3 linked regions of the Drosophila melanogaster genome follow. The protein of the gene in region 3 interacts with the protein of the main gene of each other region in a pairwise test. Each region holds a gene or a part of one and is shown on either strand. Other genes may lie near its edges.

Region 1 (4,766 bases), on a different chromosome or scaffold from region 3:
TCTGCACTGCGAGAACTCAGCTCAAATGTGAGATGCATTTTCCGCGTGGTCTTCAGTTTTATATTCGAAACTGGCGGCAGCTGCCAGCGGAAAAAAAAACTGGACAATCTAATGGGCAGAGTGACAATTGCGTCTCATTTGGTGGCTGCCCGATCTCGATCTCGATCTTGCACCCCAGACCTCATCGCTGATGGCGGATTTCGTGTTTCTGGTGCGGATTTCATCATTGGTGCTGGCTTTTCTCAATGGAATAACTGCAGCCGCCGCTGCCGAGGCACACCACTCACCGAAGTCCATTTGAGTCCGTTCAAGAGCGCCGCTCCAAGATACCCAGCTAGTCAGCTACCAGCAACACCAGACTCGTTTTCCGCTGACTCGCTGGCCGATCTGGTTTCATTTTTTCGCCGTTTTTTGGCACATTCTCAGGTTCTCCAGCCAAAATTTGTCTGATGTAATAAGTGCCTCATATTGTGGCAGTTTCAGTTGCAGTTGCCACAAGAACAGTGACAGTGCTTTTTTAGCGATTGTAGGTACCCTTTCAAGAAAAATCTTTAATATCATCAAAGACCTAATGAAAATATGTATTTACTCTCAATTTTCTGAAAATGTATGAAACCAAGATTACAATTGGATATGTAAACACTCATTTGGCGAACATACTTCAATCAATATTTGAATATGTAATTGAAATGCCTGCTGTTAAGTTATGCCGATTATCACTCACACGCCATGTTGTCCAAACGCAAGCAAATTTCGCTTGGTTTGCGTGACGTGCGAGTAATCTTCATAGTAACATACATGTCCAATGTGCCCACCCAAAGTGCAGGGTATAAAAACAAGATCAATCGTTCGCAGCCACTCGTTTAATTAGAAAACGAAAATGGCAAGTTTCGACGGCTTGGTGGAGGGAATGGAATTGGGCGGGACGCAGGCGCAATTACGCACTGGCACACGCATTAACCCCTCGACGATCCGATTTCCACCTGACCAACTGGACCAGCGCCCACATTGCTGAGCCCGGTCACTTAGCCACCGTAATTGCCTCGATCGGGCCAAAAAGCATTTAGCCGGCATTTGGAAGCTCTAACCGCGGCGACCTTGCTCACAATTGGCAGCTAAGTGGCTGTGGTTAGTATTTCATCCACTTTTAATTAATTCTCATCTCAGAGCAGAGTCAAGCGATTGGGCAAGGAACTGCATAAATGGCAGTGGAGCATTCCATTCGCTTTGGCCAAATTGGACGACTGTATATCCATGCTGGTTTCCGGTGGCGACAATCTACGCCGACAACCGTTAGTCAGCTACCACAACCCGACGAGTAATACCACCATTTGGTGCCAACTTTTGGGGCTCTCTCCGCTTCTCCGGATCGCTCAGCGTCTCTCCGAGGTGAATCCGCAGCCAACGAGTCGCAAGGTCGTTGGTTGCATTTAGGAAAAGAGTCACGAACTCAAAACCAGCCACCAGTTACAGCACGAAATCGATGGGGAATCTTTAATCAACCATGGAGTTAGGCAAATTCCAAAAGACCAGAGATTCTTGTTGTTACTGAAGATATTTGTTAGGAAAGCATGTTAAATTTAAAATAAGATTTATCCTTTTCAGCAAAGTCGTTTAGGGGAGGAACTAAAAATCTCCTTATGGAAACATAAACCAAATGCATGGCCATTTATTAGAATAATATCAATATAATTGATGTATCAAATGTTGATAATCTTTCAATAGATTTACAATAGTAATATATGGGTATATAGTATATATATTAGTCTAATCGATATTACTGGGCCACATTGACCCAGTTTCACCTTGTTAAGTGAAACCGAACCCCTTGTGAAAACCCTTATTATGTATAAGTGGTAACTCATTAGCATAAGTAATTGATACCCAATAAGGTGTATAAGAAACTTTCCAATTTATTTGAGACAACCAATTCAAGTAGTACATCAAAATCAGGATCATTACACTCTAAAGATACTTTTTTATCCCAGAGATATATTAATATTAAGTTTTTGAGCTTGAACCCTTGTCAACTCGACGTCATTATGGTAACTTAATTATAAGTTTCGCGCTTTTGGTGTAAAGGAAAATTAAAAGCACTGTCATTGGATGGAACCTGCATGACAATTACCGAAAACTACTGCTCCGAAATATAATCAAATCGCATTCACTTTCGATCCGAACAAGGCAAAAACAGTGGCAAATAAAAATGAAAACTTGGTGTAGCCACCGCAAGACGACTGAAAATTGGAGTACGTGCTGCGAATTTGGATCAAAGCCCGAGACGCAGACGCAGCCAAATGCTGGGTAGGAAGAGGCGGCCCCAAAAAGCGGCGATGGTGATGATGCGGGGGGCAAGGAGCTCGGACAATGGGCTACCATACGCAATTGGTACGCAGTTCCCTCCACGGAGCACCGCATGCAAATTTCGCGAACGCATCTGGGTATAAAAGTCGTGGTTTTTTTGTCCAAGGTATGTCAGTTCATTTTCGATAACCGACGGTGACAATCGCACTAAACCCCCACCCAAGCCTTACAATGAATCCTCTGACGGTAAGTGTTGGTGATGGCTTCGGTGAACCCGTCAGGTCAGGAGACTAAACTGGACTCCATGCATTTTCCTCACAGGTTGTTGCAGTCCTTTCCTCGATGGCCCTCTCGGCTCAGGCTGGTCTGGTTGGCGCTCCTCTGGCCGCCGCTCCTCTGGGTGCTCCTCTGGCTTACTCCGCCCCTCTGGGACCTGCTCCATACTTCGCCCCGGCTGCGTACTCCGCCCCTCTGGGCTACGCGGCTCCTTTGGGATACAACGCCCCTCTGGTGGCGGGACCTGCTCCCCTGGTGTCCAAGACCTACGCTGCCGCTCCTTTCGCCGCTCCCTTCGCTGCTCCAGTTGCCCCAGTTGCTGCTCGCCTGGCTGCCCCAGTCGCCGCTCCTCTCGCTGCCCCAGTTGCTCCAGTAGCCGCTCCCCTGGCTGCTCCAGTTGCTGCTCCCCTGGCTGCTCCAGTTGCTGCTCCCATCGCCACCGAGATCGTGGATGCCCACCCACAGTACAAGTTCGCCTACGATGTCCAGGATACGCTAACCGGTGACTCCAAGACCCAGGAGGAGACTCGTGATGGTGATGTCGTCCGTGGATCCTACTCTCTGATCGAGCCCGATGGTTCCCGTCGTATTGTCAGCTACTACGCCGACTCCATCAACGGTTTCAACGCAGTGGTGCAGAAGGATGTGCCCGTGGCTGTTGCCCCAGTGGCTCCAGTTTTGGCCAAGACCGTGGCTGCTCCAGTGGCTCCAGTTGTGGCTGCTGCCCCCGCTCCAGTCTTCGCCAAGACCCTGGCCGCTCCCATCGTCGCCTAAGTAGAAGGAGGAGAAGTAGGAGTCGTAAAGGAAGTATTGACCGCAATTCGACAAAGGACTTTCATCTGTACATATTCGATTAATCATTGTCGAGCTATTGAATAACTTTCATCGCAAAAACCCAAAATTAAAGAAATTCTGAAAACAAAAGATTGTAGTTTATTGTTTAAAGGCATCCTGGATTACGAGAGTGATATCATATAGAGGCTTAAGAAAATTATTTAAGTATTTTAGCTTTAATATTTATAGGTAATATTTATATGTATCATTCTTTATATTTTAAGGATTACACTTAAAACTTGGTGTTCTTTTTAGGGAAGTGGATGAAGAGTTCTGGAAGCTTTCGCAACATGAGAACGTGGCCAGGATGCGTCTGAAATTGGAGCCTCAGTTATATCCAAATAAACACGAGAATGCCGCCAATCTGCGCGACAATGCGACCAGTGCCTACGACACCAAGTAAGCCCAGCCAGTCCTTAGTAGTGTCCTTCATAATCTGATTTTCAATATCCTTTATCTTAGGGAAATCTCTGAATTTGACTCCACCATCAAGAATGCCGTGGTGCGCGATTTCCTGGCGGATGACGAAAGTTCCCAGCTGGAGGAGGAACTACGTCAACTGATCGACACGCAAGCGCAACAGGATGTGGCGCTGGAGAAGCTAGTCATGTCACAGGACTGTGAGCTGATCACGCTGATGACCAAGGTGAAGGGACGCATTGAGGTTAACCAGAGCGTGTTCACCTTTGTGGACTTGAGCCCGCCAACAGAGGATGGTTCCAAATACGATTTCAGGTTCTCCACCAACAAGATACGTGAGGTTCATCTGCGAAAGTACAATCTGCGCAGGAGTGCTTTGGAAATCTTCCTGGTGGATCAGACTAGCTACTTCCTCAACTTTACGACGAAGGTGAGTTTTTTTTTTGTAAATAAAATGTGATCATTGCAAATGTTCTTATTTCTTTAAGACTCGAAATAAAGTTTTCACAAAAATCGTGGGTCTACCGCTTCCAAACATACTCTACGGCTCGGGAAGATCGCCGGCTGAGCTGCTTAGGGCCTCGGGACTCACACAGAGATGGATCAATCGTGAGATTTCCAACTTTGAATACTTGATGTACCTAAACACAATCGCAGGTAAGCAAATAACATCTGATTATTACATACATTTTTATCAAACTAACGTATTTTACATAACTAGGTCGATCCTACAATGATCTAAGCCAATACCCCGTCTTCCCCTGGATCCTTGCTGATTACACCAGTGACGTGCTGGATCTTACCGATCCAAAATCGTTCCGTGACCTATCCAAACCCATTGGATGCGTAAGTATTACTGAAAATAGAAAAAGGTGATCAGTTACATGACAAACGCATTTCTACCGCAGATAAATCCTAAAAACGAGGCCGAA
Region 2 (5,458 bases), 3.9 Mb from region 3:
GATTCAACTTCAACTAGCTTTATGACAACAGATTCAACCCCAAGTGAAACGGAATCCACTTCGGATACATCTACTGAAGAAAGTACACAGATTTCTGACTTCACCGAAAGTTCAACCGAAAGTTCGACGACAGCAAAGATATTTTTAAAGGACAATGAGATTTCAAAACCAGAAAACAGCAACACTTTACTTATCAGTGTGTATGGCATTGTAATTACCTTGGCTATTTTAGTTGCTCTAATATACTGCATTCGACGCCATTATGGTTCATATTCTGTGAAAGAGCAATGCAAGCCCATTGAAAGTACCGCATATTTTAATAATATTAAATATTAAAATCATATTTAAATAATATTATCTAAAAACAAGGATTTAAATAATAACTTTCTTAAAAACAAATTTGCATCCACTAAGTATTAAAATAATTTTTGGCACGAATCTTAAAATATTTGAAATAAACATGACTCATTTATTTCCGACAAGCGCTTCAAATATTTTATTTCTACTTGTGCCGGATAAGAAGAATTTCAAAACAAAAACATTTGTTATATTTAAGCGATACGGAAGTAAGTAATCTCAGCTATTCGACATGTTTTGAATGCGATATTATCTAGCCATTTAAATTTATTTTTTAAGATAATGACTGCAGCTTTTGGATAAACACAATCTCTGTTTTGGTTTTATACCGATCAAGCCCAAGGGATTTCGAAATAAAAATCAATTCTTTAGTAATAATGTCTATACTGGAACGCACATGGTTGATTGCTCATGGTAGGTATATCCCGGATCGCATAGACATCGGTTTCGGCTGACACACACGCCATTGTTGCACTTCCTGCACCGAATAAAGATTGCCATTAGTCTGGTATTCCCAGCATGAAGTTTTCAGCTTACTGATAGCAATCGGCCTGGCAGACACCATCCCTCAGATTGTAACCAGGAGCGCAGTCGCACTGGTTGTTGTCCTTGCAGAGTCCGCCGATTCCACAGTCCGGTTCGCAGACGGGCTGGCATCCGTCGTCGGTCAGCTGATAGCCCTTGGAGCAGCCACAGATCTCCGGTTCGGTGCAGTTGTGCCGCGGACTGCTGCCACAGCCACTGCTGCAGATCGGGCGGCAGAAGCGTCGCGTCTCGTCCAGCTTGTAGCCCGGATCACACTGACAGCTGCCGTCCAGATAGCACTGACCATTTTGGCAGCCCAGCGGGCAGGCAAACACACAGTCACCGTTGTCGTTACGCACAAAGCCATCATAGCACTCGCACTCACCAGGAATCTTACAGCTTCCGTTCTGGCAGCCACATTGCGCCCGGCACACGGTTACGCCCATCAGACGACTGGCCGAGTATCCGGTGCAGCAGACCTCGATCAGGGACAGCCGGTTGGCCTGGTCCGTCTGGATGACACTGGGGTACGAGTACTTTTCCACCGTATCGGGGCTGCTCGAATGTTGGAAAACAAAAAATATTATAACTAAGTTCACCACATTGCTTCCAATTCTCAGTCTATGCTTATGAATTTTGGCAACTAAAAGTTTTACAAATTCTGGGAGTACAGATAAGGCTTGCGATATTATGTTCACAGTAGAAAGTTTATATATATATTTCTGATTATCAAAACATACATATATATATATACATTGTTAAAATAAAAAAATTTTGTTAATGTATATATACTTCAACGTTGTTTTCTGTGTATCTGACATACTTACGGCACCCAAATGCGGCATTTGTGTTGCCCCCTATCGGATTGCGTTTCATGTGATCGAATGAGATACTCTCGTCGTTTCGGCTGCAACTCCACATTTCTGGGATCTTGGAAGTTGGCTGGTCCAGGTCGATTATAGGACAACTGCCGGTTTTCCATGTACCCGCGGCCATAGGTTCCCATTCCTGGATCCTGGGACACAGGCCTTCTGTTGTACCGATCCGAATAGCTTGGCACATTTGTGTAAATACTGGGCAGACACACCATCAGGTGGAAAAAACTTAGACGAATGCGCAAGTCTCGCAACCACATCTTGAGCACTCCTTATTTCAAGTTTCTAGGTGTTCACAATTTGCCAGCTAGAATTGTACTAATTTTCGCCACTGAAACAGAATTAATTTTTTTTGTCTTATCAGAAAAGCAGCTATATTCGATGCATAGGCTAAGATGAGAGGAATTTGGTTCAGTTTGTTTATGAGAGTTTATTATTATGAATACATGTAAGTCGAAATTTTTAAGTGTTGCGACTTGTTTATACCTCAGTTGGATAATTTTCTAAAATATTTTTTCTAATTTTATTTTGAACGAGCCCAAAGCATATTTAAATATAAATAAAATAAAATAAAATATATTTGAATATGCTAATTTACATACCCAAAAGATACTTTTGGTTACTGAAATATTTTATTTGCATCCCATCACTATTTATCCGGGAAATTACAATTCGTAATGAAAGAACATAAAACTTAAGACGATCTTTAGCTCGTTCTTACTTGACATACATTGGCATTGCGAGCCCTGGATCTCCCCCTCCAGATCCGAATTAAGCGCTGAAGCCCTCTTATCATTGCCTCCGGCTGTGATTAGAGGCTGGCCCAACTGCGTCGTCTCCGGAGCAGTAAACAATAGCGACTTGAGCGTTTCGGTAGCGCGCCACAAAGGAATCCGCGCCCAGCACTGAGATGTCAACAATACTGCGATCTCTGTGCCTCCACTCGGTGCTCCTGGTCCTGTTCCTCTGCGTGCTGCACGGCCTGGAGCTGCAACTTCACGAGCAACAGCTGCAGCAGCAAAAGGACGAGCAGCTGCGCCTGCGCGCGGAGCAACGCCAGCGGGAACTGCTGCGTGAGCACGAGGCTCTACAGCGACGCCTCTCGTCCTCGACCACCACACGGAAACCCTATATAATACCCAACGGTTTGTCGCTGCCCCGGAGAGGGGAACATCCGGACAAGTGCCGACAGGAAGTGCCGTAAGTGTGTGCCGGTGACAATCTAAGCCCATTAAATCCTTGGGCTCTTTTAGACCTTGCCCATAACCAGCACAAGTTCTCGTATGGTTTATAACTTTTAATTTTACTGATATATCTCAAAAGCACACATGCATTGTATACACCAATCCAATCTCCAGGGCCGTGTTCTTTCAGTACGACAAGGAGGTGAAGATTGTGGGCAACAGCTCCACCAATCCCTACATGAACGTGATCGAGGTTTGTTGCAAGGGCTGGCGCCGCTATGAATATGACTGGAGCCAGTGCGTTCCGGATTGCGGTGAGCGGTGCCAGGAGAACGGCTTCTGTGTGGCGGGCGGCAAATGCGTGTGCTTCACGGACTTTGTGCTCAACTACCGCAACAATTGTGTGCCCACCTGTCCGTTGGGCTGTCCGCATGGTCGCTGTTACTTGAACGGCACCTGCCAGTGCGATAAGGGATACGAGCTGGACGGATCGCGCAAATTCTGCCAGCCGCAGTGCAACGCCACCTGTGGCCACAACGAGGTCTGCTTGGAGCCGGGCAAGTGCTCCTGCGCCGAGGGATATACCCGAGGACTGAGGGAGTCCGCCGCCCTGGGATGCCAACCGATTTGTATTCCGGACTGCGGATACGGTCACTGCGTGCGGCCCAACGAATGCGAGTGCTTCCCCGGATTCCAAAAACGCAAGAACGGCATCACCTGCGAAGGCGATTGCTATATGTGAGTGTTAGAACTAGACGCCTCTCCTTTTACATTTAATAATTTAATAAATTTCTTTCAGGACCTGCGAGAATGGCTTCTGTGCAAACAAAACGACGTGCGTGTGTCAGAACGGATATCGATACGATAAGAATACGACGACCTGTCTGCCGGATTGCGGGGACAACTGCGATAATGGGGTGTGCATCTCGCCGGGCAACTGCCGCTGCTTCAAGGGCTACGTCCGGAATCGGGAGCGATGCGAGGCGGTCTGCGTGGGTGGATGTGGTTTTTACGGCAAATGCATCGCACCGAATGTGTGCGGATGCGCCATAGTCCCGGGTCCGGAACGCACCTACCAGCGTTGCGAGTACGGATTGTGCAACGCCATGGGAAGATGCCGCTGCCAGGTGGGCATGACGCGATTCATCGATCGCTGCATGTCGCCGGACACGGTCACCACATACGCCTCTATGAATCCCGTCAAGGTGAACGCATCGCTCATCCAGGAATTCAATCTTCTGCTGGGCAGGCACTTCAACTTGACCACACTCAGCGATATGTGGTGGTTGTGAGTTCGGAGCTCTCACTTTTCCAGCATCACTGAGCAGTCTCTAATAAATATTCATGCATTTCCCAAGACGTTGTGTTCTTATCAGGGGTGTCTGAAATATCTTGTGGCTTCATCTCTTGGGATTTCGCTTTTTTGAAGCAAGTCTAGCTTAAATTGTAAACGTACGTCGAAGATTTGGTACCCTCTCGAAAGTTGTTTCATTTGAATAGGTATTTATTATTTGGTATATCACTTATTTTCTGCATAGTCAACATACCCCACGAATACCGGGTACTGAACACATAATTATCTTCCTAGGAATATAGAACATTTCTATCTCCGTACACTTAAATGCCGCGCTTGACACAGACGACAATTTAGTAGCTCCGAGACACTGGCGAGCATTGCGCTCGCATTTTGATACGACCTCGCCTTCAGCTGAATCCGAGCGAAATGCACTTGACATCCACGCTGATTGGACTCCTTATCTGCGGTCTGGGGATCGAGCTGCCCACGCGCACTGCCGCACAATTCTGGTCGGTGGATCCTGTTACGCAGTGGCGAAAAGAGGCTCTGGCCGAGAGGGGATCCGGCATCTGTTACAGGACGCTCACGTAGGTAAACCATTCCGCACGCCTGACCGAATTTCAAGATCAATTCCCACTCCCAGCGTGGAAACCATCAATCCCAACTCCAGAAATCGTCAGTTCTCCTACTGCTGCGATGGTTATGTGAATAAGGGAACAAGCCAGAACCTGAAGTGCGAGCCCATTTGCTCGGAGGACTGCTCCAATGGATTGTGCCTGGCGCCCGAGGAGTGCGAGTGTGCTCCGGGTTACTATCGGAGTAACAAAAGGTGTCGTTTTGTCTTGGAATAACAAAAATAAATAATATCAATTACAATATTTTTTGAGTTGCTTACTTTATCATTATTTGATCAATACTTCTACTATTTGAAATATTATTAACCTGTTTTTTACGACCATTCATGATTACATAGAAACGTTAAATTTTTTTTTTGAAAAAACCTTCATAAGTTTTAAAGGTTCATCATTTTTATGTTCTGTGCCTTTAAATCTGATATTTCATCAAGAAATAATCTCTATACCTGAAGTCATCGTTGTACGCAAACTTTTCTTGGAATTACCCAAAAGCAATGAGTTTTGTTTACGACTCACAATTTATGGCAATGATCGATTTGCTTTGCCCGAAGCTACTGAGAGCAAACCTTCGCTCCGTTTGCCACA
Region 3 (6,938 bases):
TCCTGAGCATGGCCCCGCCTCCGACCATAAGCGGAAACCTGAGTGGAACGGCGATGCAGACAATGCCGGCAATTCCAACGATTCCGACCATGTCGCTGCCCACCCAGACGCCGAAGACGCAGAAGCGAGTGACCATCCTGGAGCCGACGTCCCGCACGACATTCGACCCCCTGCTGCCCACCATGGTGGCGGCGGTGGTCTCCACATCGACTGTCACCAGCACGGCGACTACGACGCCAGCCACGCCCACACCCACGCAAAGCGGCTGCAGTGGGGGCAATGATGCAACGCTGGATCGGATCACGCTCGATCTGGACTACTTGCTGAACAGGGGCGCTGCGGATGCCGGCGAAGCAGGCGGCGTTGCCCCACCGCCCACCAGTGATGATGGACAGCAGAAACAATAGCAATATCCGTGAGTTGGATGGCATTTGTAGGCCAAATGCCCACACTAAGATGCATTTAAGAGGCTTCGTTTTTCTATCAACAGATGTACATATGTGTAAATCAAATTTCGAAACTAAACTACAGTAAAAAACAAATCTCTGTGAATATTCTATCTAAGTATGCATCGGATATAGATACCAAATATGGATAACAATCAGTTTAGCAGCTCCTGGTTTTACCAATTTTTTATCAAATAAGACCATCCAATTTTCAGTTCTATCAATTCATGAAATGTTCAAAGTTACTGTCCTTCAAAGTGATTTAGGCATCAATCAACCTAGACTCATATTTAGAACACAATTTAAAGTTTACATCATATGGCATATGTAAAACGAATTGAATGAATTTAAACTTAGGATAACTTTTTAGCTAGATTTACAAAAAGCCTATTGTGGAGAATACAATGAGAACGAAATTGAAAAAAAAAAAAACAAATTAATGAGCGAGAACATGTTTTTGATTCCATTTAAAGTTTCCTAGAATTAAAGCCAAAATTAAGCCCTATTAAGAAGCAGAGATTAAATACAAAATACAATAATTGTAAAACTAATAAACATAACAGGACTATTTCTGGAACAAAACAAATTATACAGATATATCTTTAAATAAACTCGAGACTCTTGTTAGAAAATCTATTAAAAGTGTGTGTTTGAATTTGGAAAAAAAATATGATATTAAATGACTAAAAATTACTGACAAGCCGGAAATGCAAGGTAAGATTGTGGTTAGATTTTTATAATAATTTTCATAGAAATTTTAAACCATTTTCATTTTGCAACAAATACAAAAAATCGATCATATATTCCGAAGCATTCATACATCGATATTACTTGTTTAGTAAATATTAGTTTTATTTTACTTAGTTTTATAGAAGTTAACATATTGCACTACCCTTCCGTGTATCTAAATTTTAAGAATTTTTAAAATTCCACCACGTGACCCATCAGATAGGTCACATTCTCACTGCGAATGGCGAAGAAGAATGGATGGTCAGCTCGGAAGAATTTCTGGCGGGAGGAATTGCTGATCACAATGGGCTTATATTCTGGAATGTTTATGGATAAGGTATATTTATCACCAGGAACTACAAAGAAATTAAATACCTGTGGCATTCTTTGGTAACTCGGGTCCGGATCCGGATCCAGACTCATTCAGATTTATGCGCAGCTTTTGAAGAACATCGGCAATGGGCAGATTCGCCGATGCATGCAGATGTTTGAAGTTCGCCGATGCAGCAAATATCTCCTCAAAGCCGAGCTATATAAGATAACATATTCGAAATTGGGAAAGAGGATACATTTATTGATTTTACGAACCTGTTTCAACGGCTGCCGCAGACTGCACTCGAAATCGATACTGAATTTGGGCAGCAACACCTGCACGCCCTCCATCTGCATTCGCTGCTGCAGTGCACCCAAATCCAGGTCATGCAGCTGCTTCTCCAGTTCCTGCAGGCCACCACGCTGATTGGGCAGAATGAGCAGCATGGACAGCTCCTCGGCGTGCTCGTAGGGCAGCTCAATGGCACGCGCATCCAGATCCCTCAGCTCAGCGAACTTCACGAACATGTCGTCGTCGAAGAGCATGGGCACCGATTTCACCTGGCTGCCGCTGTGAAACTCATAGAGTCCGGTTCTGTAGGCACTGAAGGGCAGGAACCACTTGCTCTGCAGATTGGCGGCCAGCAGCAGGAGCAGGGTATTGGCTGACGAACCACCTGCCACGTGAATATCCTTCCAGCTGCCGCCTCCAACGCTGGCCAGGATCTGTTCGCTGATGTGGCGACGCAGTTTCTCCGTTTGCTCCAGATCAACACACTCGGCAGTGGCATGGAAATAGGTTTGTGCAATCTTCTGGAAATCATCGGCCACTCCAGATTCAGATGACAGCATCAAACGATTCTGCAGCTGCAGGAAGGTATCTGCATCTGTTGTGATATTGCCCAGTTCCGCGGCATAGAAATTGGCCATTTTGGCATTGCTGGCAAAACGTTGCTTCAGTCGCAGTTGTTTCTGCAGCTCCTCGGCGGTGGCTCCATCCGATCCCAGGAAGAGCAGGGACAGAGTGGCTTCCAGTAGTAGTGGTGATACAACTACATTTTGTTCTGCAAAACTCGTTGCTATGCTGTGGTAAATACCAGCACCTATGTGGCAATCATAGGGCGTTGGATTGGCAGCTTCACTCATTGTGTTGCTTCAAAAAAATCCAAGAAAATTCAAGTTTTGAAATCTTTGTATGCAAAATGAAATCGTAATCTTCGTAAAGCTACAAAAAACATACACAGATATATTGCATGATAAATTACTTAGCTTTCAACTTTGGAAGGGGTATTATCTTGCCCACTTTTTCCAGGAATCTAATGAAATCTGAATCTCTTGAGAAGCCTTGGGCAGTGTTTTCGTATGCAGATGAAGTCTTATTAATATTATAAAGGCGTGAATTTATCGCTTCCACATGGTTGATTCTATCAAAAGTAATTGTTTAGCATAAATGCGCCCTACGGCATAATGCAAAACACATGTGCCATGTATATACATACATATGTAGATATACATTTGTAAGTAAACTTGGCCAAATTTATTAGGGCCATGAGATGCTTTAAATAAAATGAAAATATAATGCGGCCCAGCCGCAAGTAGATACTACATTGAATCCCATTTAAATTCACCTTGGCTCTTGAAGTGCACACTGTAATGAAAATGTAAATTGTCTACCATTTCATTTGGCGAATACAAAAGAAGCGCCTTGAACAAATAAAGTCAACTGAACACACTAGGCCAAACTTGACACTATTTTCGGCAAGTAAACAAAGCGGAAACGCCGAGGCGGAAAACTTTGTGACAGTGCTGTGGCTATATATTTGCGGCAACTTTTAATTTCACGCGAATTTCGGCAGCCGCCGCCGTTCTATGGCAAACAAACCCAATCCCACCGCCTACCACGCCCACGCCCACGCCCACTTCAATGCCCACTCGCTATATATGTACTATATAGTTTGTCGATTCGAAGCTGCAGCTCTGCACGCCGATTTCTACGCGACGCGCACACTTGCGCGCTTAATTGCCACATCAACAAACAAAATACGCGCCCACCCACCCCAATCGGAAAATAAAAACGGACCGAAACGGAAAAAAAGACCGTTTTCCGCTTCAAAATCGCGAGAGCCACGCTGCCCACACTGCAAGAAAAATCTATCAGAAAATCATGTCACTCATACTCTTTCAGTTTTCACAATTTTATCACATGAACAACTTTAAAATGCATTTTGAATAGATTTAGTATAGGTAATATACTATTCTATCAATTCACAGCAAAATTAAATGTTTTCCCAATGATTAAAATTAAACATTTTATAATGAGTACAAATTTCTTGCTGTGTACGCTATGTAGTAGTCGCTATAAAGTAGCGCTGTTCTAGTGCTAGATGTTTATTGTTTATTTTTGGTGTGCCAATTTTTTGTTTTATTCAACGAAATTAACTGCATCATGAGTTTGTCAAAAGTGCTTTCGATTTTTTTCACACTTTTTTTCTTGTATTTTGTAAACGTTTAAATGCACCAAGTGGCATATGGTGTATCCCCAACTGGATTCTCAGTGAGGCATATGAGATCAGAAAATTGTTTTCGAAGTGGCATCATCAACAACAATAGTTGTGAAAATTTCGACACACATTCAGTGAAAATGCGAATTGATTTACACACAAGGCAATTTACGAAACTACCGATTGGTTTCACATCACTTGCACTATTCTCTATTACCTTTTTTAAAAATCGTTAGAAATTTTTAAGTTTCAAATGCGTAATGTCAGTTCAGATCGTTTTGCAATTATATAAATTAGTTGCCCTTAGAGATTCACGCCCGCACGCAGCTTCGGCAGAAAGTCGACTAAACGCTTGCGCTCGGAAATAATAAAATAGCTCGAGAAAGAACCAATTGAATACATAGATCCGATCCATCGGTGACGACAATTTGGGCAACGCGGAGGCAAAAGCTCCGGATGGCGGCCAATGCTTCCACAATTCAGTTCGAATTTTCGGCAACTACTTTGCCCATGCTGAATTTTTAATCTATTTTTATAATTTGTTTTGCCACACACACACACGATTCGCCGAATTCGACGCACTGCATCCGATGGGAACAAGATCGTACGTGGACATGGTTGTTGATGTGACGTCGTCGCTCCACTGATTAAGCTTACCCTCTGGATCACTGCAATAACCACGAACGCTGCGATTCATCTTGATTGAGTTGTGCGTGGTGCGCGTTCTGTGCCAGTAGTAGACTACTACTCACTACTCACTCGTCGGTTGTTTAATCATTATATCTAATCTGGAACTTTTTTGGGGTCGCTGTCCACCGCTGCTCGAGTGGGCGTGGCTGCGGTAGATAGCTCTTAATCTTCCGGCTATCCGCTTACGGCCCAAATGCGATTTAAATGTACAAGACAAAAAAAAAAACATGTATTGACTGCATGACTTTTTATCGCGGATTTACGGACAAAAGGCGCCAGCGCATCGAAGGGATAACATTTTAAATTCGATTGCCTGCATCGGTGTATATCCCAATAGCATTCCAAATAATATACAAAAAAAAATGCCAAGGCCCAAAAATAGGCTCCAATTTTCGCAATGCTCAAATGCAGCTTAAATACACATGAAATTTAATTAATCATTCAAACAATTCATTATTTATTGACAACTTTGAATATAAACATGCGATTCGGGAATGAGGACACTGGTGTGAAGGGAATGAGTTGTTGTTGTTGTTGTTGTTGTTGTAATGCTTGCGCGAAGGTGGAGGATTAAAAGCGTTTCCTGTATACATAAATAAATACTAAACAGCCTAAAATATATCCGAAATGAGCTCGAAACGTATCCAATAAAAAGCCTAGTACACGCAAACATAAGGTGCCCCCTGTACAGACGGATTCTGGAAATACTATGATCCACGGATCCCAGCCAGCGCAGCTGCCCGAGCGGTTGCATCGTGAACGAGGAACACTGCCAGAAAGATCCATGCTGCAATCTGTGAAGTCTAGTCTAACGCGAGGAATACGGGTATGTTAAATGGGGATTCATGCGAGTGGATTTTGCCAACCCGATTCAATTATGACTTTAAGCTAATGCATTCGCCTGTGTTTCCATGCATACCTCCAAAGTGTTTGGGAATGTTTGTAAGATGTGATGATGAGTATGCGTATGTTTGACAATGGCATAGTGTGTGAGCGCGGTCGAAGGTGTAGTTGTTTGTAAGGCGTGTGAGCGGAGTTTGGAATGTGTGGGGTGGGCGATTAGAACGTGTAGCCACCTTCGGGAGCCTTGGGCTGGGTGGCATTGAACTCGAGGGCTCCGTTGACCTCCTGAGGTGCGAGCTCTTGCTCGGCCTCGTCGTCGCCGTTGCTGAAGTATGTGTCAATGATGGCGTAGGCCTTCTTGTAGACCTCCTCGTTCTCGTGCTGCTGCAGAGTTTCCAGCTTGTCTAGACCGCCCATCTCCTCGACCATCAAGCATAGGTTCTCGGTGCCACCAAGTTTCTCCGCCAGGGCAAACAGATTGGATAGGCCCGTCTGCACCACCTTGATGGTACGCGGATCCTTTGTGTCCAGCAAATCGATAAAAGGCTTCAATATTTTGTACTTCTCAATTAGATCGACGATCTGTTCGGGAGTGCCAGATGTCGTGGTGTTTGTCACCGCCCAGGCAGCCTCTTTTTGAGCCTTGAAATCACCCTTCTCCAGCACGGTGCGCAGCTGCTGGAAGATGCCGGCCTGAATCACAGCCTGGATCTGCTTCTGGTTACCTGCTGTGATGTTGCTGACCGTCCAGGCAGCCTCCTTCACAATGTTGCTTTTGTTGTGCTGTAGAAGGAGTCCCAGCCTTGGTAAACCTCCAGATGCAATTACAACGTCAGTCTAATAAAAAAAAAAAAAAAAAACAGGTCGGTCAGGCATGTTATAACAATAAGGATTAAAATCATTTGTTTTCCTACCTGTTGATCTGTGCCAGTCACAATGTTGCCAACGCTGCGCAGGGCGGGCACAATAATGCTCGGCTCGTCCATTTGCAGCAGTTTGACCAGGCGCGGCACTGCGTCCGAGTCGACCACAGCCTGGATCTTGGTGTTATCGTCGTCCGTGACGTAGGACAAAGCCCAGCAGGCGTCGGCCAGCACTTGGATGTCCTGACTAAGCAGAAGCTGCGACAGGACGGGCAACAGCCGCTTCACCTGATCGAATGGCGGCGATGGATTCTTGTTCCGGCACAGGTTGGACATCAGCCAGACGATGTTGCGCAGAAAAGAGAGCGGTGTCTCATTGTTGATCAGTGGCAAGATTCCGTCAATTACGTTGTGGTGGATGACAATGTCGCGGGCGGCGGCTCCGTCGCCGGCAATGTTGCCCAGAGCCCAGACTGCCTGCTCGGCCAGGTTCATGGACTTGGACTGGAGCAGAGCCACGAAATGCGGCACAGCATTGTGTTCGATAACGCAGC

Evidence for each region.
Region 1: the proteins of Spn31A (region 3) and Cpr64Ad interact in a two-hybrid assay, tested with the Drosophila melanogaster proteins (one large-scale study listed by BioGRID).
Region 2: the proteins of Spn31A (region 3) and NimB4 interact in a two-hybrid assay, tested with the Drosophila melanogaster proteins (one large-scale study listed by BioGRID).

The regions. Positions count from the first base shown.
Region 1 is NT_037436.4:4,212,915-4,217,680, forward strand, and holds Cpr64Ad (cuticular protein 64Ad), read left to right. Parts: upstream 1-2,464; 5' UTR 2,465-2,535; coding exon 2,536-2,550; intron 2,551-2,625; coding exon 2,626-3,354; 3' UTR 3,355-3,500; downstream 3,501-4,766. Other genes in the region: CG43367 (uncharacterized protein), read left to right, coding at 3,670-3,813, 3,877-4,264, 4,323-4,491, 4,556-4,680, 4,743-4,766.
Region 2 is NT_033779.5:13,967,118-13,972,575, reverse strand, and holds NimB4 (nimrod B4), read left to right. Parts: upstream 1-2,599; 5' UTR 2,600-2,667; coding exon 2,668-2,957; intron 2,958-3,115; coding exon 3,116-3,679; intron 3,680-3,740; coding exon 3,741-4,233; 3' UTR 4,234-4,296; downstream 4,297-5,458. Other genes in the region: He (hemese), read left to right, coding at 1-336; NimB5 (nimrod B5), read right to left, coding at 739-835, 895-1,437, 1,710-2,017; NimB3 (nimrod B3), read left to right, coding at 4,665-4,825, 4,882-5,089.
Region 3 is NT_033779.5:10,058,267-10,065,204, reverse strand, and holds Spn31A (serpin 31A), read right to left. Parts: upstream 4,390-6,938; 5' UTR 4,206-4,389; intron 2,641-4,205; 5' UTR 2,634-2,640; coding exon 1,764-2,633; intron 1,705-1,763; coding exon 1,551-1,704; intron 1,493-1,550; coding exon 1,368-1,492; 3' UTR 1,280-1,367; downstream 1-1,279. Other genes in the region: CG44153 (uncharacterized protein), read left to right, coding at 1-407; Pen (pendulin), read right to left, coding at 5,738-6,358, 6,436-6,938.